Rhinolophus ferrumequinum: one gene and its partners. The protein of the gene in region 1 interacts with the protein of each later gene in a pairwise test. Links are inferred from orthologs where the notes say so. Each region holds a gene or a part of one and is shown on either strand. Other genes may lie near its edges. The genes, in order: SDCBP2, C24H1orf35, YTHDC1 and TNP1.

What was found.
Region 2: the proteins of SDCBP2 (region 1) and C24H1orf35 interact in binary tests that used the Homo sapiens proteins (3 or more experiments, as listed by UniProt). The two-hybrid records come from large-scale screens. The link is inferred for Rhinolophus ferrumequinum from reciprocal best matches to the Homo sapiens genes SDCBP2 and C1orf35.
Region 3: the proteins of SDCBP2 (region 1) and YTHDC1 interact in binary tests that used the Homo sapiens proteins (3 or more experiments, as listed by UniProt). The two-hybrid records come from large-scale screens. The link is inferred for Rhinolophus ferrumequinum from reciprocal best matches to the Homo sapiens genes SDCBP2 and YTHDC1.
Region 4: the proteins of SDCBP2 (region 1) and TNP1 interact in binary tests that used the Homo sapiens proteins (3 or more experiments, as listed by UniProt). The two-hybrid records come from large-scale screens. The link is inferred for Rhinolophus ferrumequinum from reciprocal best matches to the Homo sapiens genes SDCBP2 and TNP1.

The regions. Positions count from the first base shown.
Region 1 is NC_046306.1:24,039,460-24,046,379, reverse strand, and holds the start of SDCBP2 (syntenin-2), read left to right. Parts: upstream 1-3,897; 5' UTR 3,898-4,000; intron 4,001-6,920.
Region 2 is NC_046307.1:1,636,110-1,643,882, forward strand, and holds C24H1orf35 (multiple myeloma tumor-associated protein 2), read left to right. Parts: upstream 1-4,984; 5' UTR 4,985-5,120; coding exon 5,121-5,214; intron 5,215-5,328; coding exon 5,329-5,479; intron 5,480-5,576; coding exon 5,577-5,622; intron 5,623-5,697; coding exon 5,698-5,780; intron 5,781-5,942; coding exon 5,943-6,015; intron 6,016-6,118; coding exon 6,119-6,279; intron 6,280-6,709; coding exon 6,710-6,829; intron 6,830-6,918; coding exon 6,919-6,976; 3' UTR 6,977-7,271; downstream 7,272-7,773. Other genes in the region: MRPL55 (39S ribosomal protein L55, mitochondrial), read left to right, coding at 167-192, 1,694-1,895, 2,190-2,339.
Region 3 is NC_046288.1:27,395,438-27,403,352, forward strand, and holds the start of YTHDC1 (YTH domain-containing protein 1), read left to right. Parts: upstream 1-4,907; 5' UTR 4,908-5,012; coding exon 5,013-5,040; intron 5,041-7,915. UniProt on the Homo sapiens protein: Regulator of alternative splicing that specifically recognizes and binds N6-methyladenosine (m6A)-containing RNAs.
Region 4 is NC_046291.1:18,127,637-18,133,643, forward strand, and holds TNP1 (spermatid nuclear transition protein 1), read left to right. Parts: upstream 1-4,903; 5' UTR 4,904-4,927; coding exon 4,928-5,066; intron 5,067-5,267; coding exon 5,268-5,296; 3' UTR 5,297-5,494; downstream 5,495-6,007. UniProt on the Homo sapiens protein: Plays a key role in the replacement of histones to protamine in the elongating spermatids of mammals.

The DNA of each region.
Region 1 (6,920 bases):
CGGAGGAGGTGAGGGCCCAGATGGCTGGGCCACCAGGCGGTGGGGCCTCTCAGGGTGCTAGCCTGCCTCTCGCTGGAAGCTTCTATAGTAACCATCGCAGGGAGAGTCCAACCTAAACTCATGATCCTGAAAGGATGCAGGTAATTTCTGTATGTTTGATCTTCAATCACATTTAGAACAGTAATGGATACATTTTGTCACTTGGACAATGCAATAATCCAATAACGTGGATGGAAATATAATTGTTCAAATTTAGTTAGCACTTCCCATGAGTCAGGCATTAAGCAAGTACTTTCTCTGTGCCCCCCAAAAAACAAAACAAAACAAAAAAACAAAATGAAATCATTCTCCCCATCTCACCGGTGAGGAAACAAGGCCGAGAGAGATAGGGTCATTTGCCCAAGGTCACATAGCCTAAGAGGAGGTATTTGAGCCCAGGCAGCCTGGGATTCCACAGCTCATGCAATAAGCTGTGCCCCCTTCAGGATGTCCCCTTGGGGTACGGTGTTACAAGTTGGAATCTCTGATAGGGGCTGAGGTACCAGGTGGGACTAAGTGGGGTACACGTGTGAGGGAGTGTGAGCCATCAGCCCGCTGGGCCTCTGCTCACTAGGGCCCTCGGCTACCACCTGGAAACCTGTGACCACCTGGACCCAGCGGTGCCCGATGGGAGACTCCTGGAGCCCTGGAAGCCCCATTCAGTTCCTAGTCAAGACCTGGCCTTTCTACTCGGGCTGTGCGGCCTTGGGCAGGCTGCCTCCCTCTGAATGTGGGGCTGCTGTGAACAGAGATCAGGGTACATCCCATACCCAGCACAGCACCCAACGTGGAGAAGTTGCTCAACAAGGGGAACTCTCCCTGTCATCATCTGATGGCACGATACAGCCATGGGGACATAACCTGGGTTTTGCTGCACCGTCCAGATTCCACGTAGAGGGTAGGAGCACATCGCTGGTGCTTCTCTCTACCCAGCAGCCAACCATTCATCCCCCCTTCTTCAGGTAAGAGCATTTTCACCTGCAGATAACTTGTATTTCTATAGCGTATAGCTGGACTGATTCCATGAAGAAGTCGGAAACTAACATTTATTGAGTGCCAGCTGCGTCCTAGGTGCTGTACTGACTAAATAATCCTCAGGACAAGTCAGTAAAGCAGGTGCCAATATTCCCATTTGTAGATGTGGAAACTGTCGCTCAGAGGTGTGGTGACTGCAGCATCCGATCTGGGGCTCGGACCTGATGCCCCCGCCCAGCCCAGCCTATCTCCTCAATAAGCCAGCCATTACCTTTATAACTGGGATTGGCTTTTCTAGGAGGGGCATTTATTCGTTCAATAGACTTACTGCACCTTACTGAGCCTACTGTGTGCCAGGCCCTAGGGATAAGAACCCCACAGAAAAGCCTGTCCTCATGGAGCATCCATTGGGTGGCACAGAGGTCTCACTTCATGGGCCAAATCCAGGTGGCAATAGCTGCCTGTGACATTCTTGTAAGAGGACTGAGTCAGCCCTGGGCTTGGCGGAGAGTACCGTGGCTGATTACTCAGGTCTGCCAGGGGTGCTGTTAGGGCATTTCTGCGTGTAGGCTGAATAGTAGACACCCGTGTTTTAGATTTCTGAAGATTGTTCATAAAAAAGTGTAAGAAAGCAGAAATACATCCCGGTCAGAGCACAGGTTCCAACTTTTACTTTGAAAATTACCACTGTAGATCTAATAACTAGGCTTTGCCCTCAGGGAACTTAGGGTCTAGCTGACAGTCTACACTCCACATGAACACAAGGTGATTACCACTGAAGAACGAACTGTAAAGTCTGATCCAGAGTTTAGAGGCAGGACAGGCCACATGACGGGGACAACCAGGGAGGCTTCCTGGAAGAGGAGCTCAGAAGACTTGGCTAGGTGGAGTGGGGGCAGGGGGGAGACATACTGGAAGCAACAGCACCAGGCAAAGGTATGAAGGTGTGAAGCGGGTGTGAGTGGAGAGGATTCCAGTCTGGCTGGGGTAGAGGTGCTCCAGGGACAAGGTTGAAAAGGCCACAGGGGCGGGAGAGGGGTGGGGACCACGGAGGCCTCAATGTCAGGCCTGGGAATTTAGTTCTGACCCTAACCCACCTGATTTGACCCTTTAATAGGGGGCCACTGAAGACTTTGAGCAAGGTTATGCCCAATGAAAGGTACTTTTTGGTGGTTGGAACAGGGTGAAGTCAGGGGAGTGGCTAGAACACCACGGAATGGAAAGAGAGCCCCGCGTAGGTGGGGTTCGGGGACCTGGGACCTGGTCCCAGGTCTATGCTGATGTGCTATGACCACAGCAAGTCCTTTTCCTTCTTCTCTTAAAGGCCCTTTCAGAACATGGCTGAATGAATTGTGGTCTCTGTGTGTGTATGTGGGGGGATGTCACTTGGTTCTGTCAGGGTGTCTGTTTTATACTTTTCTTTGGCCTTCAAGACCTGTCACCATGGTTTACCTCATGTTCCAGGACCATGTGGCTCAGCCCTGGCGTGTGTCCACACCTCAGCTTCAAGTGGCATTTGTCTCACAGAAGAGAAAACGTGACCTTGGCGCCACTTTCCAGCTGTGTAACACGGAGGGACTCTCCTCTCACGCCTGCTTCACAGGGATGAAAGGAGCCACGGAGATGCTGCCTTGAAAGCACCTGACGCAGTATCTGTTGCTCGGTGGGCAAAGTGCTCAATTAGTGGCAACTGCCTTTCTTGCCATTACTGTTCCTGTTATGTTTCCTGTTATCCCCTCCCATGGGGCCGGACACCAGCTGGGCCCCTGGTCAGGATGTGGTGCCCAAAGCTAGTGCAACTCCACCCAGGCTTGTCCTGGGGACGGTGACTTGGGCCTGCCTGGCCTGCTGAGCAGCCCTGACACTCACCCCACCCTGTGAGTGGGGCGCCCTGTGTCATTCGGAAGGGACTTCCCAGCACGTGGTCCCAGTCTCTTCCCAGGCACCATGTGTGACAGTCACCTCTGTACAACCGAACCTACCAGGACCTAAATTAAATCCCTCCCCCTTTTCTGTTTAATTTTATATGATTATTTTTTGGGCTCAGTAGTACAAATTTTTCAAAATGTAAAAGGCACTAAAATGTGTGCTATTAAAAAAAAAAAAAAGTCCCCTCCCACCCAGCACACAACCCTTCAGTTCCCCTTACTGGGGACAACCAATCTGAATTCCTTTTTAAAACAATTAAATTTAATTTGCTCTCCCCTTACAAAAATCATAAGCATTCAAAGCAAAACAAAACAACACCCCCACCTTGGAATACATCCAAAAGCACAAGCCAAAAACCCTACCCGTAATCCCACCATCCAGATTTCAGCATTTTAGTATATGCCCTCCCAGACTGTTTTCAATACATACCCACTTTTCAAACAACGAAAACAAAACACAGTATCACAATGTTGATTTCTCAGTACCTTGCCAGTGTCTCAGGGCCACTTCCTTATGGCTTCTTCCTTAAATGACTCTGATAGCTGTGCTGATATTCCAGACACTTATTTAACCACACCTGTGATGGGCATTTGGGATTCTAGATTTCCCTATTATCAGCAACATGGTGGTGGGCCCTGGGACCTCACTGCCTACCTATTTATTTTCTTGTAACGAATTCCTAGAAGAGAAAATGCTGGGTCACAATTTTTAAGACTGTGGAAATTCAAAAAACTGCCCTCATGTTCAGGACTGGCGTCTGATCCAAGTATGATTTCCTCAACACCAAGACAGCTTAGTTCAAACTCAACAGCTACCGCGCCTCCACATTTAGACTAAGCCAAAAGTCCTCCTCTGGGCCTGGTGACCTGCTGTTTACCCAGCCACAGAGAACTACCTGGGCCTGTCCCAGTCCTGGGTGAGTCAGCTGATCAGGGAGCGGGCACCACCCTTCCCAGAGCAGGAACTCAGCTGGGACAAGGGCCACCACCTTCCAGGGAGGGAAACAGACTCTCTCAGCAGTGGCAGGAGAAGGACGTGCAGCAGCTCTAGCCTGCAGGTAAGATCCGGGGCCCCCATATGGGCTGGGCTGCGATGAGAGAGACTTGCTCTCCCCCTGTCTCCCCCTCCTGGGACTTCCCAGGCAGTTTCCTTTCAAGGTGCTTCACTCTGGGAGTGATGTGTAAACTGGGGTTCCTCTTCTGACCCCAGCCCTGGGCCAGGTTTGAGGGATGAGAGGTTATTTATTCAGACGATGGCCCCAGGCTCCTTCTGACTGCCTCTGAGGGTGCTCAAGGAGATGGGACCCACCTTTCTTTGCTCCTTGAAAGGCCAGGCAAAAAGCCAATTTTCACAAGGAACTGAGAGTGCCAGTCTGCTACTTCTCTGCCTGAAGCTGTTTCTATCAACAACTTCCCTACCACGCAAGGAAAACGTGCTGGGGAACTGGGTTGGTGGCTTAACCTCTTTAAGAACTGGTTTCCTCATTTGGAGACTGGAAATATCCCCCGTCAGGAGAACTGAATGAGAGAATGGAGATAAGGGGCCAGGATGTGCCCTCCACACAGCTGAGTCCCAGAAACAGTGCTTAGAACAAGGCTCATGTGCCAGGCGGGCACTGCACTGGCTGCTTTATGTGCAGGGGCCCAAACTAATAACTATCCTTACACCGCCATCACTTCCCACCTGGACTCCCTGCATCCACGCTGGCTCCTCTAGTCTATGCTCCAAACATTAGCCAGAGGGAGCCTGTTAAAATGAAAGTTGGACCACATCACTCTGGTGCTCAAGTCTCTGGTGGTTCCCATCTCACTGGAGTAAATGTGAAGTCGTTGCTGTGACCCACAGCCCTCCAGGATCTGGCCCCTCTCACTACTTCCCCAACCTCCTCTCCTGCTACTTTCCCTCTGAAACACCGACTTCAGTCGCACTGGTCAGATGTTCCCTAAACGCAGCACTCCCACCTCAGGGCTGCTGCAGTGGCTCTGCCCTCAGACTGAATGCTCTTCCCTACCCTTTAGGCTTTTACTTGTCACCCCTCACCCCCCAGCAGTGAGGCTCTCTGGACCTCCCCAAGCTCTCTGGCCTACATCTTCCCTTATCTTTTTCCCCATCACTTCCCACCATCTAACACAGCATACACACTTATTTATCCAGCTAGAAAGCAACATTCCTCAAGGGCAGATTGGGGAAGAGGAACAGGACTTTACTGGGGAAGTGTGTATTTCCAGGACTTTTACCAAGTCAAGTTGTTGTGCTTTCAGTCTTAGTTGTAGAGGGCGCAGCTCAGCTCCAGGTCCAGTTGCCGTTGTTAGTTGCAGGGGGCGCAGCCCACCATCCCTTGCGGGAGTCGAACCGGCAACCTTGTGGTTGAGAGCCCACTGGCCCATATGGGAATCGAACCGGCAGCCTTTGGCGTTAGGAGCACGGAGCTCCAACCGCCTGAGCCACCAGGCCAGCCCCAGTTCACTGCCTTATTACTGGTACCCCTTATTACTGGTACCTAGAACAGTACTGGGACTTAGGCACTCAGTAAATGTACTGAACGAACAACAGCTAAACAACAGCTAATGATTACTGCATGGCTTTTATGTGGCCTTTATGTGCTAGGTACGGTGCTAAGTGCTTTCCACACATAGCTTTTCTGTTTTTAATATAAATTTTATTGGGGAATATTGGGGAACAGTGTTTCTCCAGAACCCATCAGCTCCAAATCATTGTCCTTCAATCTAGTTGTGGAGGGCGCAGCTCAGCTCCAAGTCCAGTTGCCATTTTCAATCTTTAGTTGCAGGGGGCGCAGCCCACTATCCCTTGTGGGAAGTGAACCGGCAACCTTGTGGTTGAGAGCTCGCACTCTAACCAACTGAGCCATCTGGCTGCCCCTCCAGAAGCTCAGCGGCAGCTTGTTGTCTTCAATCTAGTTGTGGAGGGCGCAGCTCACTGGCCCATGTGGGAATCGAACCAGCAACCCTGTTGTTCAGAGCTCACACTCTAACCAACTGAGCCATCCGGCCGCCCCTATAGCTTATCTCTTTTAAAGAATCTTTTACTCTCCGCAATAACTCTGTGATGCAAGTATTGTTATCTATATTACAAAAGAAGAAATGATATTCAAAAGGGACTTGTCCATGCTTGCTCTCACAAGTCAGAGGCAGCAATCTGAACCCGGTCCTCCCTGCTTCCCTCCAAGGTCCTTGCTCCTGCCATTTCTCCTGGGCCTGGATTCGGGGGTGTCTGCATTCCTGAAGAAGTCCACAGCTTTTCTCCAGCAGGCAGTACACGCTGGGAGGAGGTGGTGGATATGTACTGGTGGCCTAGCAACAGCCTCTTTCTTTCCGACTCACCATTTCCCTGGGCTAATTTGGCCTTCCAGGAGCTATTCCTCTGACAGTCTAACCTACGCATCCCTCCCGCACAGTCTTCTGAAGGATGGATGAGTTGTCCACAGGAACAAGTGGGAGTCCCCTAGTTTCAGCTCTTTGGAACAAAGTGTTCCAGAGGAGTGTTCTCATTCCAAGTCCAAAGATGGGGACTGACAACCCCGCTTCAGCCCTGCTGATCTTTGAGGACCTGATTGCTGGCTTGGGTATTGTTATTGCTCATAATATCAAAAAGTACAGAAGTTGAGGGAGGAAAATTCTGGAAAATGCAGTGGGTGAGGAAAATTTCTCTGGGAGAGATGGGTTAGATGGGTTCTTTTCCTTTCAGAGGCAAATTGCAGGAATCCATCAGCACCAAACTGAGAAAACTCTTGAGCACTCTTCCATCGTCAGATTGTAGGAGGTAGCCTTTCAATCTGCTTCATTAACCCAGTGATTTTTCTCCTTTTCTAGGCCCAGGGTTTTTTTTTCCAAAGGACTTTTTTGGGCTTTCTTTTCCCTGTATCTGCTTTTCCACTCCCTTAAAAACAGTACCTAGATGCCTGCTGGGTGCAGGCACTGGGCTCAGCACTGAGGATTCAGACATCAGAGACATTCCTG
Region 2 (7,773 bases), on another chromosome or scaffold:
TTTGGGGACGTGATTGGGTCTGTGGCTTTCTTCCGGGCTAGGGTTTGAGGAGGATCAATTAGGTAGAAAAGCCTGCCTGTTAAAAAGATTTCCTTGCCCAGCAGGTTTCACGCTGCGCCTGTGACTGACCGTGGGCCTCCACATACCTCAGGGGCCCTCAGGAGGAATGGCAGCCATAAGCAGCCGGCTTGGGTAAGCACAAACTTCCACACCCCTTGGGATTGCTGTCATGGGGCCACCCAAAGGAACACCCACTCGGGCTTCAGGCCGTGCTGCCTGAAGGAAGCTTCCTGAGCCAGTGTGTTTATTTGGATAATATGCGCAAGTTCACGTGTGGATGACTTGACAAGGTGTCAAGGGAAGAATGGAAGCGACTTTTGACTTCCCAGCACCAGATATACACCTTCCTGTTCAGAACCTACAGCCGAGCCCAGCTCTGGGTCCCTGTAGGGGCCGTGGCCTTCCTGCTGTTCCCACCAGAACTGCTTCCCCATCTGCCCAGTGCCCTGGTCCTCTGGCCTCCCCCAAATGGGAAGCATAGTGTGGCCAGTGTTGCCAGAGGAGGAAATGAGGGCAGGATTCATGTTGTTTCTGTGGAATATGGGAAGAGGGGTGCAGCACTTGAAGCCTGAGTCAGTGTGGAGAGGGGAAGGGACTCTGGCAGCAGTGTTCCCTGGGGGGCCCTCATCCTGGTAAAGGTTCAAGTGGGAACCACTGTTATAGTGGGAGGACACCACCATCTCCTTTCTCCTGTCTTGCACTTCTCAAGGCAGGGACTGAATTCATTTGGCCAAAATTTATTGAGCGCTCAGCTCAACAGGGTCTGGGACTTAACAGTAAATAAGATGCAGTTCTTGCCCTCTGGCCATTAGAGTCTAGCAGAAGAGATGGGCCCTCCGCCCCCAGTGTTAGCTGGGAAGTACAGGGGGTGGGTCTGAATCCAAGTTTGCTTGAAAGCTAGAGTGGAGGGGACTTTGGGGGTCACAGGGCAAGGCCCCAAGTGGGTGCGACAGGTGGACGGTGGGCCTTGCCCTTTCCTGTCATCTCAGAGCATGTGCTCTGCCGTGTGCGGGTCTCAGTGTCAACCGTGTTCAGAAGCTGAGTGGCTTCCAGGGGTCTTGGTGTGCTCAGCCTGCCCCAACAGAACATCAAAGAGCAGGCAGCTTGTTTCCCACAGTTCTGGAGCTCTTTCTTCCTGGATCACAGACAGCCGCCTTCTCCCTGTGTCCTTACAGGGCAGACAGAGCAAGCGAGTTCCTGTCTTTTATAAGGGCACCAGTACCACTGGGGGGGCCCACTCTCATGGCCTCATCTAATCCTAATCAGTTCCCAAAGGCCCTGCTCTTGATGACATCTTATTGGAGGTTAGCACTTCAACATGTGAATTTGGGGGCACAAATGTTCGGTCCACAGCACCAGGTCTGCCGTCCCTGGAAGGCAGCTTCCTGCTCCATGCTCATGTCCAGGGTTCCACACATCCAGAGACTGCTGGCCTGAGCCCTCTGTCCACAGCTGTCTGGGAGCCTTGTGTGCTCAGCTCCTGCAGCCTCTTCCCAGACATGGGGTAGGAGCTGCTCTGACCACATTCCACATCTTGGGGGTCACTGCGTGCTCCAATATGCGCTGGCTGGCCTGGGCTACGTGGGCGCTCTGGTCCAGCTGACCTGCCGCTGACCAGTGTATGTGTCTGCAGCCTGCTGCCGCAGTGTGTGGTGACAGGGGCCGTCCCTGTGTGCCGTTGCCTACACACATCCGCCTGGTGGGCTGACAGCAGCAGAGCTTCGCTCACACGTGTGCACAGACAGGCCTATGCTCGCCTCTACCCTGTGCTTCTGGTCAAGCAGGACGGCTCCACCATCAACATCCGCTACCGGGAGCCCAGACGGATACTGGCGGTAAGCTTCCCTCCTTGGGGTGCAGGTCCCATTGGGCTCAGAATCACTGTGGCTAGAAGGGAGAGAGGAGTGCTGGCAAGTGACAGAGCAGGATTGTTATGGAGAGGAGGAGGGTGACACAGCTCATTCCATGCGCCAAGTTCAGACAGCAGCAACAGGCTGTATGCAGAAAAAAACACGTCCTGAGTAAACAAGCAGAAGAAATTTTTTTAAAGCGTAGCTTTGAAGGGAGAGAAGGGGAGGTCCGAAGACCCTTCTGGTCCCTTCCGCTGAGTACACGTCTTCCCTCCACAGATGCCAGTGGACTTGGACGCTCTCTCCCCAGAAGAGAGGCGGGTGCGGCTCCGCAAACGTGAGGCCCAGCTCCGAGACAAGGAGGAGGAGCCGGAGCTAAGTGATAACTTTGACCTGGAGCAGTACAAGCAGTTTTGGACCAAGAAGTGACCCTGTCCCCAAGCTGCCCTCGCCTGTGATGCTGCTGAAGGGGAAGGGTGTTTATCTTTCAATGGAATGTCAGCATTTTAAAACCACCTAGTCTTTTCTTCTCATGCACTAGCTGGAGGCGGGTTCTCTGCTTCCGAGCCCCCTGGTGGGCTTAGAATTGGGTCAAATTGTGGTTTTAGGACAGTCCTCAAAGGGCATATGAGCTGTGGACATAACTGATGTCCTGGGTGCTCCTCCCACTGTCGGAAGCGCCCGCTACCGCCCAGCAACCCTCTGGGCCCTGGATCCCCCTCTCAGTGGGTACAGCAACTGGGGAGTGGGTAGGATCCAAGGATATGTGTGCCTATCCTGTACCTTGCCTGCCCTGCCCCTCACTTGGGCTCCTCAGTCCTGTCGGCTCGCAATGGGAAGGTGCTTGGCCCATGGGAGGGGCCGAGGGGTGCGGCCAGCCCTGTTACTAACTGCTCTCAGATCTTACCTACCAGCCAGACTTTCTTTCCACAGTGGGCTGCAGCCGTCTGCCTCAGGGGTAGGTTTCATGCTGGCTGGGCTTCCTGCAAGAACTGAGGGGTCAATTCCCAACCTTTCATGTGCAGGTGACCCAGCCCAGGCCTGCACCTCATCCTATCCCGAGGGGTTGAGTGTGGGATCCTGGCTGTTAGGCTCTTTAAACCTTGAGGGCCCATGATAGAGTGCTGCCATTTACATGGTGGGGAAGGCATTCCAGGCATGAGTTGGGAGGCAGCAGCCTGTGGGAAGTAACCCCGCTTCTGATGGCGGCTCACAGGGAAGGATGCTGGGCTGAGCACCCGGTCCTAGCTGCAGTCCTCCCGCTGGTCCACTGAGCACGCCAGCTGGCTGTGTGCAACTCCTGCGGATGTCTGCCCTGCAGGCTCTGCTGGCCTTCTGGCCTGCTCAGGGGCATTCCCACGTGGGTGACCTTCCCGGAGCCCTTATCCTTCCAGCTGCTGCCCCAACTCCCTGCTCACCAAGTACCTTGAGAGATGCCCAACAGCAGTGTTTGTACTTGCTGTTTAGGGCCAAGTTATTCATGACATTCGTTGAAGGTGGCAAGGCAGGCCTTACCAGAGTACGGCCGTGGCTATGGGCGCAGTGGGGGGGAAGAGGCTGAGTACTACTCTGACAAGTGGAAATTTGTGTGAGGCGCAGGACGGGGTTGCTGATGGGAAGTTACTAAGAGGACCCACCCCAGTGGGAGTGCTGGCTAAACCCACCTAATGGGATTGTTGGTGTTTTTTGTTTTATTTTTTTTACAGTTAGTTGATATTTAGTATATTTTGGGTGTAATGGAATTGTTGAATGCAGGCAGGCAGATCAGATGTCCACGGGGAATGAAGAACCAGACTGGATACGGAGGGTGGGGGTTCTTACCAGAGCTGGCAGTGCAGAGATGGATCCGGAGGTCCAAGGCCTGGTTGGAGAGCTCTAGAGAGCCTGAGTGGTCAAGCAGAATCCCATCTGTACTCCTTTGTTGGGGGTGGGACCTCCCTGCTGCCTCTCTGATGCAGCCTGCGTCCTGTCATGTCACCCGCCTTGGGAGGTTACTTTGCAGTGGACACTGGTGACCCCCAGTATCCAGACCTGGGTTGGGCCTTCCCCAGGGGGCAGCGGGCTGGGGTGAGATGGGGTAGCAGGCTTAGAGCTGACCCTGCCGCTCCCAGTGCCTCGCAAGCCCCTCTACCAGCATCTCATCCTTGTCGGGCATGGCAGTACTGCCTCTGCAACAGCTCTCACCCACCGCAGCTGCCCTGTGATGCTCCACGTTTCCCACCGCAGCAAAGCTGGGACCCTGCAGAGGGCACACCTGTGGCTTTGGACCTGCTGTCCCATGCTGGAAGCCCCCGACTAGGTGCAGGGACAGGTCTGGAGCTCCCATGTGGGGAAACCGAGACCAAAACTTGACTTAGTGGTAGTGCAGGGCAGGGTTGGGGCTCAAACCGTTACTTTGTCACTGGGAGCTCCAAAACCTCAAAAGCAAGTGAGGGAGTCAACGGGAGGCGGGTCAGGAGAGCAGTTAGGGACTCTTCGTTGTCCTCCACTGAGTACCTGGGGTCTCGTGAGCGGGACACGCTAGAGCAGCCTCCTGTAAGAACCCGTACAAAGGACAGTGTAGAGCAGGGGATGGTAATTAGACCATTAGACCGCTGTCTCCAAGTCCGGTCTGTGACCAGCGATGGTGACAGGCGAGACGCATTTGTACGTCGACCAGCCCGCTGAGCCATCAGCAGTTAGCAGCAGGTGTTCGTGTGGAACCTCTGCCAGGGCTTGGGCGCACTTTCTCCCCGGCGTTGCTGCAGACCAAGAGCAGTGCCATGTGCGTCCACGCCCCTGTGACCACAGCAGGGTCCCCACACCGTGTCCACCCCTTGGCTCCCACAGCCGCGGACGTGATGGCAGAAACCTTGGTGCAGCTGGAGACTTGTCTCTCCAGCTGTTCTCCGGGGTTGCCCGTCTGCTGGATCCGGCACACGGCGCACACCAGAGACTGTGACTTTTGGGCACCGACCCTGGATCCTGGCGTCACCACACAACGTGACTTCTATAACGGCGGTCGTGCCAGCTGGTCTCGGGTTTAGCTTCGGGGCTTTGCCCGCGCGGTCCGGAGCGCTGCGCACGCGCGAGCGAGGGTGGGGACAGTGCGCAGGCGCGAACGGCGACGCGGCTGGCGCGGGCATGACGTTACGGCGAGCGACGTAGGCGCCGGAGCAGGCGCCGCGGTGGAAGGGGAGAAGGTCCGGGGGCGGAGGGTCGTCGTGCACCATGTTCGGCTCCAGCCGGGGCGGCGTGCGCGGGGGACAGGACCAGTTCAGCTGGGAGGACGTGAAGACCGACAAGCAGAGGGAGAACTACTTGGGTGAGCGCGGGTGTTGGGGGTGCGGGACGCAGGGGTGGTGGGGCGCAGAGCTGCGGTCTCGGGGGTCGGGGGCGCGCCCACCCTCGCGCCAAGGACTGGCCTCCGTCCTCGCAGGCAACTCGCTGATGGCCCCGGTGGGCCGCTGGCAGAAGGGCCGCGACCTCACCTGGTACGCCAAGGGCCGGGCGGACGGCGCGGGACTGAGCCGGGAGGAGGAGCTAGCGGCCGTGAGGCAGGCGGAGCAGGAGGCGCTCATGGCGGCGTTGTGAGTGCACCGGGGCTGGGGACCTCCGAGGGGCGGGGACGCGGCGGGGGGCCGAGGCGAGGCCCGCCGCCCGTGACGCTCGCGCGCGGTCCTACAGAGGCTACAAAAACGTGAGGAAGCAGCCCACCGGCCTGAGCAAGGAGGTGAGGAGCAGCCCTGAGGGGGCGGGGTGGGACGGTCTGGGACCGGGCTGACCCGTGCCGCCCTCCCTCCCGCAGGACTTTGTGGAGGTCTGCAAGCGGGAAGGTGGTGACCCCGAAGAGAAGGGAGTAGACCGGCTCCTGGGCCTGGGGAGCTCGAGGTGTGCACCGGGGGTGCTCCTGAAGGGCGGGGGCTCAGAAAGCGCCAGGGTGCAGCTCTTAGGGGCTCGGACCTGTCAGCTGCCTAGGTGGAAGGTGGTACCCGCTAAGGAGGCCTTGGGGGAGGTGTCTTACGGGGGAGGGTCTCACCCGTGTCCCCGCAGTGGCTCCGCAGGCCGAGTGGTGTTGTCCCGAGAAGACAAGGAGGCGGCTAAGCTGGGGCTCTCCGTGTTCACGGTAATCACTTCTAAGTGGGATCTCGTGGCCGGGTCTGTGTACCTCTTCCCGTTGAGGGCCAGGGTATGGGCTGTCTCTCGTCTCCCCTCGGGGGCCCTCCCAGCTTCTTGGCCTAGGACACCGGGTCTGGTTCTCCCTGGGGAATCTTGCACGCCTCCAAGAGTGGCTCCCTCGGCAGCACCACCGCATGGAGAGCAGTCGCCCAGGGGCCTCGCCGTCCCGGAAGAAGCCCCGGCTGGAGGAGAAGGCGAAGGCAGAGCTGGGGTAAGGGCTGGCTGAGTGCCACAGGACTCGGGGTTCTCTGCACAGCTGGCTCCCATTCGAGTCGGTGATGTTTTTGTTTCCAGATCCCTTTTCCTTCTGGGGAACCTCTCAAGGTTGTGACCCCAGGGCAGTCCCAGGCCTCGTGTCCATTGAGGTCAGGCAGCACCATGTTGTGAGCTGCAGGGTGGAGGGGCTCTGGAGACCGAGTGAGGCGTATGGGGTTCAGGAGAGCACACCACCTGGCAGGGAGGGTGTTAAAAGGGGCCATGAAAAGGCCCCTATCTGTGTCCCCTACCATGCTAGCTGCTGGTCATGTGATACTGAGGATGGGTCAGTGGTTACTGTGGTGGCCCGCACAAGCCTGTAGGCCCCACACCCTGTGAGACCCCTATAGGCCAGCGGCTGCTGGCACTCTGTATCCCCCTTGCAGCTCTGAGAGCCACAAGAAGAGCAGAAAAAAGAAGAAGAAGAAGAAGAAGCATAAGAAAGAGAAGAGAGAAAGGGAGCGCAGGACGGGGGCAGCTTCCTCACTGTCCGCGGCTCATGCCCGGTAGGTGCAGCAGCTCTGCCTGGAGGCCCTGGGAAATTGGGCCAGACAGTGGGTGGCCCCTCACACTGGGCATCCCCTGCTCTCCCCAGGGCCCGCCATCGTAGACACGACTCCGACTCGGCCTCGCCCTGCTCTAAGAGGCGGTGAGGGCACGACAGTGACAGGCTCAGCCCACCCCAGCCAAGTGCTGCCCTCAGGGAAGCCTCAGCATGTGCCCTGCCAGGCCCAGGAAGCTGGAGGGCAGACTTGTGGGGGCCCTGCAAGCAGGCAAGGTGTCTGGGTGAGGCCTCAACCTCAGATGGCCACAGGCCCACACAGCTGCCCAGGTCCAGCTTCCCTAGGTCCCAAGAGTCTAAGCTGTGACCATGTACTGCTTTTTGTGTTGACCCTCCTTTTGTATTTAAATAAACTTATTTTAAGTGGAAAATGTCTCATATTGAAGTGAAGGTTGTCGTGTCCTCCAATAGAAAGTGATGAGTGAAAATGTGGCAAGTGCCTTGGGTTCCAGCAAGACCACCCGAGACCCCACAGGGAGGATGACTTCCTGTTGTGCAGGAGGGTGGAGGGACTCAGCTGCAGGTGGGCAAGTGCAGAGAGGCGCAGCCAGATGGGGTGTTTGTAAGTTGGAGGGTGGGGGGCAGGAATTGTACCTGAAGACACCCTCATTCCCCAGGCACCTCCTGCCCTGGTCCCATGCCGCCCTAATTGCCTGCTGAGTCCGCTCTGCTGCTCCCAGGTTGGGTGGAGTTCCAGGTGCCCCCCCCAGCTCTTCTGCCAGGAGGTGTGTTTTAGCCATTCACCACCCCATTCACAGAAGAAATAAAAACTTAAATCTTACATCTGCATCGGAGTAAAGACAAAACCCAAGTTGGATTCACTTATGAAATATATTCAATTTTGCTTCTGATTTTTAAAGAAATAAAAACTAAAAATGATTGTCTTTA
Region 3 (7,915 bases), on another chromosome or scaffold:
CTAACCACGTTCGGACAAGTAGCTCTAGTTCATTTTTAATGCTGTATTGCATAACTGTATATGAATATAATACAAATTATCTATGCAATTCATGTTGTATTTCAGGCCTGAGTATGAATGTGTCACACTTTATTGATTTATGTATCGCTTTGTCTTACTAAGTACAACTCTGTCTTGTTTACTATAGTTTTATAATAAGTCTTTTTTTTTTTCCAAGTCAAGTTGTCCTTTCAATCTTAATTGTGGAGGGTGCCATTCAGCTTCAAGTTGTTGTCCTTTCAGTCTTAGTTGTGGAGGGTGCAGCTCAGCTCCAGGTCCAGTTGCCATTGCTAGTTGCAGGGGGCGCAGCCCACCATCCCTTGTGGGAGTTGAACCGGCAATGCAATCTTGTGGTTGAGAGGACTCGTTCCAACCAACTGAGCCATCCGGGAGCTCAGCGGCAGCTCAGCTCAAGGGGCTGTGTTCAATTTTAGTTGCAGGGGGTGTTGCCCACCATCCCTTGCGGGAATCGAACTGGCAACCTTGTGGTTGAGAGCCCAGTGGCCCATGTGGAATCGAACCGGCAGCCTTCAGAGTTAGGAGCACCGAGCTCTAACCGCCTGAGCCATGGGGCCGGCCCTATAATAAGTCTTGAAATCAGGTAGTGCTAGTCCTCCAAAATTGTTTTGGTTTTCAAAATTGTTTTGGTTATCCTAGGTCGTTTTCATTTCCCCACAAACTTAAATTCACCTTGTCAATTTCTATAAGAAAGGCCACTGTGATTTCAATTGGAATTGCTTTGAATCTGTATGTCAGTTTAGGGAGAACTGACATCAATACTGAGTTCTCAATGCATGATGAGTAAGTATCTCTATTTAGGTCTTCTTTGATTTCTCTCAACATTGTTTTGTAGTTTTCAGTATATTTAAGTATTTTTTTATGCTGTTGTAAATGTTTTAAAATTTCATTTCAAACTGTTGGTTGCTATATTTAGAAGTACAATTGATTTTTACATACGACATTGTGTGTTAGGTATCTATTACTGTGTAACAACACACGCCTAAATTTAATGGCTTAAAAATAACTTTAGTATTTATGATCTCTCTCAGTTTCTGTGAGTCAAAAATTTCAGAACCACTCAGCTAGGCAGTTCTGGCTCATGACTTGCAGTCAAATGTTGATTAGGACTGTAATCACATGAAGACTGATCACTGAACTTGTGTAGATTGGATTTATGCTTTATAGGTACAGATCTGGGGAAAGCCCAAGTTGTTTCTGAAAATACAAGACTCTTCAAATTTTGTTTTCCCTGTGGATCTTACTGGGCATTGGTTTTAGTCTTTGAGTAGGTCATGATTAGACTTTACCTTAGGCCAAGGTCCTTATTCTTATGGTGTGGCCTTTCTGGTGTATCAGCTAGATATCAGGGGCTTGATGAGGTACTGATGAGGTCTCTCCTTAGAAGACCTAAATCTCCAAAGTTCTCTACCACTGCTCTTTCCCTAGCTTTGTTTGTGCTCTAGTATCTCTCTTCTAGTATCAACTTAACGGTGGCTTAAATCTGGTAATACTTTCGTGGTTCTTCCCTGCACATGGTTACCTCTGGGCACTTTTTATTTTATTTTTATTTATTTATTTAGTGAAAGGAATAAAATTATATTAATAATTCAAAACTCATCATGGCTACGAAAATTCTGTTAATCTTAATTCTGAATTTATACCATCAATTTAAAAGGAACTTCACCCTTCAGAATCTGCATTATATTTTAAAAATAATGTTGTCATGATCCCTGAAGTCTGAAGAGAATTGGCTGTACATTTTCAGTTTACCCCTCTTTACTTAGGAAATCATCTGCATCCATAACTAAGCCAACTAAGCCAATCTATCTAGAGTCATTTAATACTACATTTTCTGATTAATTTTACCAACAATAATTAGTAGAACAATCTATCTTTCCTGAACTACAGAAATGACAACAGTAGCTCCAGCTTATTGAACACTTAACTGCCTTTTTCTAACCCTTTTGTAGCAAATCTTTGAAACTAATTCCTAAATTCTCCTTTATAAAGACACTAAAGATTAGAGGTTAATTTCTCTAAGTCTTTATGCTTGTGAGTGGTAGAGCCAGAATTTGTACTGGCTCATTGTGACTGCAAAGCCTGTGCTCTTTATCACTACACAATCGTTGACTTGAATAAACCAACAAGGCTAGAGTTCAATCCATTATAACCTTGAAAACTTTTCCTTTTTATTAACATAATGAAAGAAAATCATATTTTTAAGAAGTTGTGCTGTATTTTTACGTAACTTTTGATATCAAAGATTTAAATATAGGATATTTACATTAAAGCTTATTTTCAATTACTTCTTAGTACTGATAGGATAAATATGGAATAGGGAAAACGTCATCTTAATATCACCTCTATTTTCTTGGCTGGTTTCTCTTGCTCTGCCTTACTTTAAAATTATTAAAGAAAATGTCAAATATTAAAAAAAAAAGGTAGAGAGTATGTCTATTCACATATGCATAACCCAGTTTCAAATCATGGGCAAGACTTATTTCATCTATACCCCCCCACCCATATCCTACTGCCCTCTACCAGTATATATTGAAGTAAATCCCAGATTCCGTATCATTTCACCTGTAAATATTTTAGTATCATGAAATTATAAACATTCTTTTCTAAACATAACTTATTACAACCAAAAAATTAACAATTCTTTCAAAATCATCAGACTTTCATTCATTGTTCAAAGCTTGCTGGTGTGTGTATTCATGTATCCAAATTGGTAGCCGAATAAGGGCCAGAGTATTAGTTTTGTAGCGCTGCTATAACAAAGTACCAGAAACTGGTGGCTTAAAATAGAAGTTTATTGTCTCATAGTTCTAAAAGATAGAAGTCTGAAATCAAGGTGTTGACAGTGCCGTATTTCTTCTGAAACCTATAGGGAAGAATCCTTCTCCTTGCTTGTCTAGCTTCTGGCTTTTGCTGGACCACTCCAAACTCCTTGAAGAGAGAAACCAGATACTACGCTATATGTATTTTTTTAACCCCAGAGCCTATAATAAATTTGGGACTGAAAAGGAATTTAATAAATACTAGTTGACTGAACAAAAGAGTAGAATATTATACAACGCTTTTATTGATTCAGCTTCTTCTTACCTAACCATTGAATATCAACCTGAATTGAACCATGGGCAGATACGCCACTTAGTACTCTTTTTATATGAAAACCATCTTGCCCACCACCCTTGCCCTTTCTCCCCTTCATCTAAGCCAAGTCTTTTATTTCTCAACTAGGCTTTATTTTCTGTTTTCCTTGACTCTTCTCTATCCTGTATCCCCTCCCCAGTCGGAACGACATGCCCCTAAGGGCTCCAATAATATCCTGAGCTTACTCTATATGAGGCAGTGTGTATTATCAAGTGGGTGGGGGCTGGAGCCAAATTCCCTGGGTTTGAGCCATATTACTACTACTCCTGATCTTCTGCACTTAATTTCATTATCACTTCACTTTCCCTTTATGTAAAATAAAGCTAGTAATATAGCTTAATTGGTTTTCTGGAAGATGAAATCAGATTGTGTAGGTCAAGCGCTCAAAACAGTATCTGGCCCACAGTAAACAACACAATTTTTAGCTGTTATTCTTACACAGTAATTCCTGTTACTTTGTTTCTTCCCTATGTTACACTAAAAATTCCTTAAAGGCAGAAGTATTGCCTGTTCACCCTTGAATCCTAAGCATCTGATACATAGCTGGGTTTTGTATTTACTGAAGTTTCTTATTTGTGTTCTTCCACTGCTTAAATAAATCTTTCCACTGCCTTCAGTTTGGTCTCAATTTGTTACAATGACCATCAAGGACCAAGACACTAGACTTTCTCTGAACATGTCATTTGTTTTCATATAACAATGTTACCTTTTTTCCCCTTCAAATTATATTTCCTTTATAAAGCCAGTTATGAAGTAGTGAAACAAAATTATTTTCATTCCTTTGGACAATCAACTTAAAGTTTCCTTGCAGATTTTACCATAATATGTAGTTAAGTAATTTTTGGTCACTTCAGGAGTTTCAATTTCTCAATAGTCTGTTTAAATCAACTGTGTACCCTAGAGCCCCCATAAATGTTTAAATCAAATCTGTTATGTGAATTACAAAGCCATTTTAAAATAAAGATAATTCATTTTCCCAATTAAAAACAAAACTAGTAGGTTTTTGTGACAAGTGAGCTGGTTGCATCCTGAGCTGCATCTGGGAAGGCCCGGCACACCAACTTAGAAAGCACATTTAGTACCCAGAGCCGGTAAAGTTGTGGGGTGCTGCCAAGGGACCGGGCCAGACTTGTCCTAATTAAATCTTCGATTCCCAGAACTGAATCAGGAGTCCCGCGGAGCGACAGAAAACATCTTTGCCCTGAGGCTGGAAGGTCCGCCAGTAGGTGTTTCAGGTGAGGAAACCGAGCTACCTAAACGCAGTAAACGCAGCCGATTACCCGTAAATAACTCACACAGCCTAATCTCTGGAAAGCCTTATTCCAGGGACATCCGGGCTGCAGGGGGCGGGGCGACGTCCTGACGTTATGTCACGTTCTCTTGCTTGTTCCGCTTCCCCGCCCCTCTCCGCACTGTGACGTTCCCAGGGAGGAACGAAGCGTAAACAGCGCAGGGCATTTCGGGAGCGGGAGTGTTTCACGCAGGAAGCAGGCTCCATTTTAGCGCCGCTGGCCGTTGCCATCTGTTTCCCTACCCTCCCTGTCGCCCCCTCCCGTCCCCAAGTCTCAACGGGTAGGCTGGGCCTAGGCCTCCGGAGGCTGGAGTGCAAGGAGGGAAAGGAGAAAGGGAAGGAACGGGGAGAAAAAGGGTGAGTCGCGAAAGGTGAGTGGTGGAGGCCAAGGTGCGAAGCGCGCAGCCCGGCGTACGGACTGACGGACGTGCCTGTGCTAGTGCTGCCGCGGCTGGGGCCCCCGCGCGAGTCGCGTCGGAGCGGCGACGGCGGCGGCGGCGGCAGCAGCGGAAACAGGAGAGGAGCAATGGCGGCCGACAGCCGGGAGGAGAAAGGTTAGTGCGAGGAAAGGTGACGGGCGGAGGCGGGGCTCGGCAGTGGGTCGGTGGAACCGCGGTTCTGGGTTGCGGGATGGGGGTTGGGAGGTTAGCTTCCCGACATGGAGCCGGTCCCCCACACCGAGACGCTTGAACTCATTGGAAGAGACCAGGCCTGCTCTTTCGTTCGGTCTCCATTTCACTTAACACTTCATCTAGCCTATGGTTTTTCTTTGATCCTAATTCTCCTGTTCACTTTCCGTTTAGCTGTCCTGGGCGCGGCTGAGAGAAGGCCTGTTCTGAGTTGCAGGCCCTTAGGTTTATTTCCTGGCAGGATTATGCGTATGTAATGCGTATTTTCAGCACATCCTTTTCTGTTAGGCTACATTTCAAAATCCCTTAATGCCACGATCAAAGCTGGTAGTCTAGTAAGTGAGCATATTTAAGAAGTCGTATGGATGGATTATTGATCTCGAGAAATACCTACAAATAACTTCAAGCTGTTTTTGTTATATGGGCAAAGTGGAAAGAATTGCCCCTTTGGTTCCTCGAATACTTATTTTGGAAGACATGACGTTTGAAAATAGATAATTGTATGAGTTAGGCCTGGCAAAAAAAAAAAAAAAAATCCTGGCCACTATTTTGATGGAAACACATTGTGTGTAGCTCCCAGAGAGTATAATCGGGAACAAATGGGTGTAATTTGTAGAGAGCTGGAGGGATAAAATCATGGAGAAATATAGGAAGAACTGATGTATCAGAATGGAACCTCGTGTCTTTTAAAACACCGACCTCAGACCTAGAGATGTGAATGAATGTAGGTCCTGGGTCAGTACATGTCTGGAGAATGGTGTAGGCTAGATGCTTCCTTAAGTTCTTTTCCAGCCCTAAAATGAGCATGATAGTCGTGGAAAGCTTGTATTTGATAAAGAAAAAAATGTTGCACAGTTTACTGCCCTGTATTTCACAGACCTACCTTCCCGTGTGCCTAATTAATTTGGGGTAGGGATTTGTTAAATGGGCTCTAGAGTCTAGTTGCACTAGGCCTGTGCTTTTTTCTTAAGTTTTCTCCTTAAATGTCTTCATACTTCAAATTGCTCTAGGATAGGGGCAAGTTTGGCAAGGGGAGAGGGTGGGAATGTTTTTAAGATATTGCTCCTATCTTAAAGCAGCTCAATGATTAGGTTATAGTAGTTTAATTTTTTAAATGAATTCTAAAAAAATCTGCATCCCCATTTTTTTGGAGAAATCAGAATGTGAACATAGGATTGCATGGTGTTAGTGAATAAAGGAAACTGCTTTTAATGAGTAAAGTCAGTTATTAAACTAGATAATTTTAATCAATAATAATTAGTCAACGTTTGATTGTTTCAGAGTGTACTCTTGTGAGCTTTGTGTATAGGAGTGGATGGACAGTGGTTGTGGTGGGTGAAAAACCAAATACAATGAGTAAAAGTCAGCACTCTGAAGAATTCATTGTTAAGATGAACGTAGTTATAAATCAGTAATAGGCACAGTAATGTACATTGAGGAAGGAAAGTGGGTGATGTTTTGAATATTTTGTGTTGGAAACAGATTTATTGATGATAATGCAGTTCAAATACATAAATTTTATAACTATAATTGGGGAGTAGAAATGCCACTTATTAGCAATACTTAGTATAAATTGTCAAGTGTTTGAAAGGCCTCACATTTGTGTAGTTTTTAAAAACTTGATTTCTATAATTGAACTTACATATTTTAAAACTTCTGATATAAGTGCTTATCTTTATAGTTTAGATCAAAGATTATCTAGATTACTGGGGAAGCTAGCAAATACAGTCCTACTAGAATTGCTTATTTAATTTTGGAATGGGAAGATTTCTAGAATAACTCATTTTGCAAATAAGGAAACAGGCTTGGGGTGTTTCACTTACTTGTTTGTTGTCACACAGCTAGAATAATAGCCAGAATTAGAATCAATACTTGACTCTTCCTTCTCATACTTGAACAAGAAAAAGTGGGAAGCTAAGTACTTACTGTCATCAGTTACTTTAAGAAACATTAGAAAATTATATAGATAACCCCTGCAAGAATCTTACACATGTCACATACCTTAGGTCCCTTTTAAATGATTTCATAAATGGGGTAAGATTTTGATAAGAAATGAGTTTAATTTGTAGAGATTTCCTATTAATCACCAAACAGTCAAAAGACTTTTGGTTATAAAGTCATTCGATTATCGGGCTTTGCACATTAGCTGTGTAATAAACACATTAAGTTCTATAATGGTCTGTGGTACCCATACTTATAAACTGAAGCCTATATAACTGGACAAATTGCCAGCTGCCTCTGATTCCTGTGGTGATTATTGGTCCCAGAAGTAGATTTGAAGGACATTGGAATGTTGGTGGTGGTAACTAATGTTAAATGCCATTCCCCCCCCGCCTTCAAGCTGTTGTTTCTATCTAGTTGTGTAGGACACAGCTCCCTGGCCCATGCTCGTGGTATTATGAGCCTTGCATTACCACCCCCAAGGCAGTCGGTCTTCCGTCATTGGTCGGCTGCTCACAGCAGCTGGTGGCAGCTCTAGCTGGCTGCTCTCACTGGCTGCCAACCTCTCATACGGGCCACCAGCTGCCCATGGCAGCACACGGTAGCCCATGCCGACCTCCAGCTGCTCACAGCAGCCCACCTCCAGAGAGAACTGTTGTTCACAATCTTAGCTATAAAGGGTGCAGCTCAATGGCCCATGTGGGAATCGAACCGGCGACGCGCTCCAACCACGTGAGCCACCGGGCTGCTCCAAATACAATTTTTCTATATGAGGAAAAACACATCTTTTATATTACAAACACCTTGTATGAATTTTAGGCTTTTATAAAGTTCTCTCCAAAGCATATACGTTATACTC
Region 4 (6,007 bases), on another chromosome or scaffold:
TCATACCACAACAACCCATTTCTAACACTCTCGGATGCAGCCTTATGTTTTGTCTTATGGCTGGAGGGCACTATATTCCCAGTGTATTCTGGGAAGGGACAGCTTCTTCTTCACTATGTCATAGATGGGGATTAGGTCAGTGGGGTCAGGAGAGTGGAAAACATTATTTGGATCCTAATGAAGAATAAATTGTGGGTTTTCTTTGTATACTTCTGTATCATGTGGCCTCATTGTTAGTGGTGACAAAAGAAATGGAAATAGTCAATTTTTCCTGAGTCCAAAAATAACAACAACAACAACAACAGAACTAAGGGAAGTTTGAATTCTCTCCAAATGAGAATTTTAAATTTATCCAGAGGACCTCCAAGTTCATGCCCTGCCTCTAAGAACATACTAGTTTTTCCCAGTTCTCCCTCTCCCTTCAGTTTAGATTCCTTCACTCTGCTCCTAGTAGCACATGTAAGAGAAAATGCAAATAGAGTGGAGAGTCAAGGTCAGATCTATTTTTAAGCCAAGTACGGAAGGTAGTATGGAGTGGTGGGCAGTCTCCGTCTTGGGGATCAACAATCCTGTTGATTGTTGATGTTGTGGCTCTCGAGCTGCCTGGGTGCAGCCCTTAGACAGGCCTGATGACCTCCAAAAGGATGGTGCCCAGGAGGAACCTCCCAGGGTCACAGCTCTTGTGATGAGTCTCCCACCTTTCAGCATCCCAATCTCTCTATCCTTGGAAAACAGGAATCACTTACAGAAAGACAGTTTGGGGATGCACTCAGAAAGGATGGGAAAGAACCCTGAAGGAAAAATTGGAAAGAACTCCAACAAATCTTCAGACAGAACTCAGGCTGTTCTCAGAACCGAGATGGTCCCTTGTTTCCCAGAACTGGATAGGAAGAGGCAAATTGAGTTAAAGTACCGCCTTCCTTTTTCTCTGAAAATCACCCTAGGCCTTGGGCTCTGGCTTCTCTTTACTTCCTACTGGAGACACCAGATGAGTACTGAGCTCAGAGAGTTTTGCCTCTTGGGTAGACCCCTCTCTAGGCATCTTTCCCCTCCTCAAGACTGCCCAAGCCCCATTTGCCTGCCTGAATAGCAGCAGCAGCAGCAACAGCAGCAAGAGCACAGAAGACAGGGTGTGCATGTGAACAGGGGAGAAGGTCCCCCTTTCCCAGCTGAGGTCAACATCTGGAGAGACTTAGGTTTCAGAGAGGGATTCAGACTGAGTCATGTATCAGGACTGTCAGCAACTTTTCCATGTTCACGCTTAATGAGCTCCCATTCCCTGCCTGCTGGGAAAATCCAGCCCTAGGAAGAAGACGTCCATTGGACTCCCCAGAAAAATTAATGGAGTGATTTTGAATCAAAGAGGTGAGATGGGACCAACCAGAGATCCAAAACAGTGATGCCCAAAGTCCATCCCTTTCTAACCTATGAAAGGGGCCAGAGGGAACAATGGTGGTCTCCAAGCCCGTCCCTGCAGTGCCACTTTAGCCATCCTTCTAGGAGATAAAGACACTATTCTGTCCAGGCAAGATAACACTCACCCCCAAGAGAGAAGAAGCTGATAGACCCTCCTCTAAAGAAGGCAGGGATTCAGTTCTCTCTCCATGTACCAATAACTATCAGAAAATATCGATTTTCTTTCATCAAGAGAAACAAAAGCAAAGACCCAACAGAAAGCCAAAGTATGGAGTAAACAGGTTTATTGGGTGTCTCTTCTGCTCCTGTTCTGGGTTACTTGAAGTAGCTCACGTAGCCAATCTGTACCTCAGTTTCTTCATCCAAAAAGAAAATGAAAAACAGAGAGCAGAAAGGTGAGGAGACAGTCAGCAGAAGGTTCTCAAAAAAGGCTAGCTCTGGGCCCACTGAGGTTCTAGAGTGAACTCATTGTGCTCTATCTAAATTGCCATTGGCCCAAGCAACACTGACGCAGAAATGGAAAGAGAAACAGAGACAGAGGTGCCAATGCTCAACCCTGCTCTGTCCTCACTTCAGGAGGTCTGATGCAGAAGCCAACCCAAACACACCAGAGCCCCACCCCCAACTGGCCTCTGAATTGCCTCCCCCAGCACTGGGCTTTCTGCTGCTGGAGTTTCTCAGCATGGGTGTCTAAAACCAGAACTATTCCTTAACCCTATGGAAAAGGGCTTTTTTGTTTGTCTCTTCATCACTTCTCAAGTCTGGCTGTCTTCTTTCCTGTGATCTCAACTTCTTCTTGGCAGAGTGGGTCTTTTGAGGATGGGAGAAAGAAATATTACCCAGTTTCAGGACCATCCATAAAATGCCTCTCAAACTAAAGAGGAGGAAAGTCAACAGAGTCAGGCATGAGAGGCCAGCAACGGAGAACCAGAGGGTCTGTTATGGAGACAATGTCTTTTTTCCCTTCCCTGTGGAAGTGGAAATGCATCCACTTGGTATACCACGTCACTCAGTGTTGTACTGTCTGTCCTTATAACACCAAAGTAGCTAGAATGAACAAATATTTATTAACCACCTGCTCTGAACCATGTCAATACCTGTGAGAAATGCAGTGTAGAAATAAAAAATACAATCCCTAACTACAACAAGCCTGCCACAAGTCATATCATCTTGTGATATGACTTGAGATTATCTAACCCAACAAGCTTATTTACAAAATAAGAGAGCCAAAGTCCGGGGAAGTGATGGTTGTGGCCAGTCAGGACCAGAACCAAGCTACACTGCCTCCTGTTAAGATCAGACTCACACATGGGACATGGCATGTGGGCACAAAAGAGGGTTTTACACCATTAGCATTGGTTGTCCAGACTTTGAGGACAATGTTATAGGGCCATAGACCTTGAAAAAATTTCAAAGGACAGTGAAAATGTGAAAAGTCAGGGACGTCTTCCTTGGGGTGGTAGGACAAAACTGGGAAGACTAGGATAGTCCAAAACATAGGATTTTTTTGTTTATTCAACAAATATTCCATAAATCTTCACTGGGCTCCTACTCTGTGCCCTGGGAATATATAGCCGGGAACACCATTTTTAAATTCCTGCTTTCATGAAACTTGCTTGTAGGAGGAACAATTAGCCTGGAGTGGACAGAAAAGTTCCCAAGATACAAAGAGGCAAGGCAGCAGCCTGTTTCATACAGCTCTTTCCTCTTTGGGTGAAAAAATCTCTAATGGAAGTTCGCCAGAGAGACCTGCCTAGAAACAGGAAAATGGAAAGTGTCACTTATGATGGCTCTTCAAGGAATCTGGGTTTCAAGACATGATTTGTCTTCTCATCTATAAACATCAGAAATACAGGGAGTGGGGCTTGAACCACATTCTTACTTTTATTCAACCAATTTTTGCTGAGAACCTACTACATACAAGATGCAGAGGATAATGGCGGTTGGGAAGGGGGCGTGGAGAGAAGGAAGGACCCAGGGGAGAGACAGAAGACACAGTTATCAAGTTCCACTGAAATTTTTTTTTCAAAAGGACTCAATTCAAGATATAAAGGAGGAAGAAGAAAAGATTGGATGATGAGTCCATTCTGAGGGAAGTTGGGGATAGTGAATATCTCCAGCTCAGGCTCTACTCTGAACTCTAGATACATATACCCAACAATCATTCAGTATCTTTATTTGGAAATCTCAAGGGCCCCTCAAACCCAAAATGTTTTAGACTAAAATGCATGATCATCACTGCCGTTATGCTTGGCTTTTATCTCAGTGAGTGGCACCAGCCTCCAGATAGCTGCATTAGAAAAAACAAAAGCCACCCTTGATACCCTCTGCTCTCGCCAACTAAATCCAACCCATCAACACCAAGTCTTTGTCTCCTGTCTTTTTTCATCCCAATCAACACCCTCCCTGGCCTGGCCTAAGTCATTATCAAATATTTCTCTCTTCTTAACCTCTACTATTGACAATAGCCTCTCCCCTCATTCACTTCACTTCTCCATTAATTCATCCCCACCCCCACCCCACCCCCTGCAGCCTCTAATCTCGTCATGTCATCTTAAATATTTTTCCATGGCTTTTCAATGTACGTAAGCCTGGTTTGCCTCTCTCTCCCACCTCATCTGCACCATGTAGGGAAGTAATTATTCACTGACTGGTGTAGATATCAGATGAATGACTTTCTTCCCCACTGGATTGAAATCTCCATGAACACAGAGTCTACGTACGTCTGTTTTTGTCCACTATTGTCTTATCACCTAAGTGTGTGACACATACTATGTGATCAGTAAATATTTGCTGACTGAATTTTTTTAAAAGGTGAAGTCAATGGTTCTCGGCCATGGGTGATTTTGCTTTTCCCCTCAAGGCAATGTTTGAAAATATGTTTGGTTGTCACAGTTGTGGGGACTCTATTGACATGCAATGGGAAGAGTCCAGGAATGCTGCCAAACATCCTACGCTGCACAGGACAGTCCCACAAAATGACTCCACCCATAATGCCAGCAGAGCTGATGCTGAGAAACCCTGATCGAGGAGAAAGCAAGGAATGTTTATGTTTTAATCTCGTTGAATTGGATCTCTTAGAGTCAAATCCCTATAGAAACACACTTGTTATCTCCCAATGCCGTAGAGAGACTTAAACACACATTTTATACAGGCACTCAACAGCCATTAAATTTCCTACAGGCAGGCAGGAGATACCTATATTAAAAGCTCTTGTACTCCCCAGAAGCTCCGAACAGGACTGAAATTTAGTTGCTCAATAACACCTGTCTGAAAAGCCTCATTTGACCTAAAAAATCACCTCAAAATTGAGGGTAGCCTTGAGCTGCACTAGAGGGGCCACCTTATTTTGCATATATGACCCAAGTGTAACAAAAGCTGGTGACAGCATAATGGAGCCTCACCCACCTGATAAGCCACACCCCTTCACAGTCACAATGGCTAAGGCCTTAAATACCCAGATTCGCGCCCTCCGGGCCCTGCAAAGCCCCTCATTTTTGCAGAAATTGCAATGTCGACCAGCCGCAAATTAAAGAGTCATGGCATAAGGAGGGGCAAGACCCGATCTCCTCACAAGGGAGTCAAGAGAAGTGGCAGCAAAAGAAAATACCGGAAGGGCAGCCTGAAGAGTAGAAAACGGGGCGATGATGGTGAGTGAGGGATGAGTAGAACAGTCAAACATGTGGGGACTTGTTGCCCTAGGGCTCTCTGTCTTGGAGTTAGCTCTCCTAGGACCCTGACATCTCAGCCTGAGACTCTCATTTCCATTCAAATAACTGTTTGGGCAGGAAGACTATGAATGGGTGTGTTCTAACTGGTGTCCCTGTTGCAAACATGTCCTTCTCCCACAGCCAATCGCAATTACCGCTCCCACGTGTGACCCCATCAGTGGGCTCTGGCCTGGTGAACTTCACACAACACCAGGCAGCAAAGAGGACAGCAGGAGGACTGCCAAGGAGACCTGAAGTTAGATCAAAGCCAGAGAAGAGCCTATCGTGTGGGTAAAATGCCAGTCGTGACGAAATGAGGAATGTATATGTTGGCTGTTTCTCCTCAATGTCTCAATAAAATTCTGAAAACTGAAAAGTATGTTTATTTTGACATTTTGGTTGAAAAAGGGGTTCCTGAGCTAGGCAGACTTGGAAGAATTAGCCGGTATGAAACCATTAAACATAACTTGGAAAATACTAAAGTAATCTGCCCTGACTCCCTTTTCCCCATGTGCCCCAACTCTGGCCACGCATGTTTGGGTTTGGGTCTTGGTCTCAATGTGCTGTCTCTCTCCCCAACGTGGAAAGGGAGAGGAGACAAAAAGGGAGAACTGCATTTATCAGAGTGTTGATGGGCTAAAGGATACAACCTTCTTCGAGGGACTTATAAGGAGACACCAAAACACATATGAAACTAAAACTAAAGGCATGTCCCGGAGGTAGAAAACACCCAGAGGTAGAAAACACCCAGAGGTATTTATTGGACAGGGTTAGCAAACTATTAAGGGATTTGATACTCTTACTAGTCGAGTGGTTATGTTAGGTTTGAGCTGGACAACAAGGATATTGCCTGAGAAGTTCAATTCAAGCCACATGGTGTG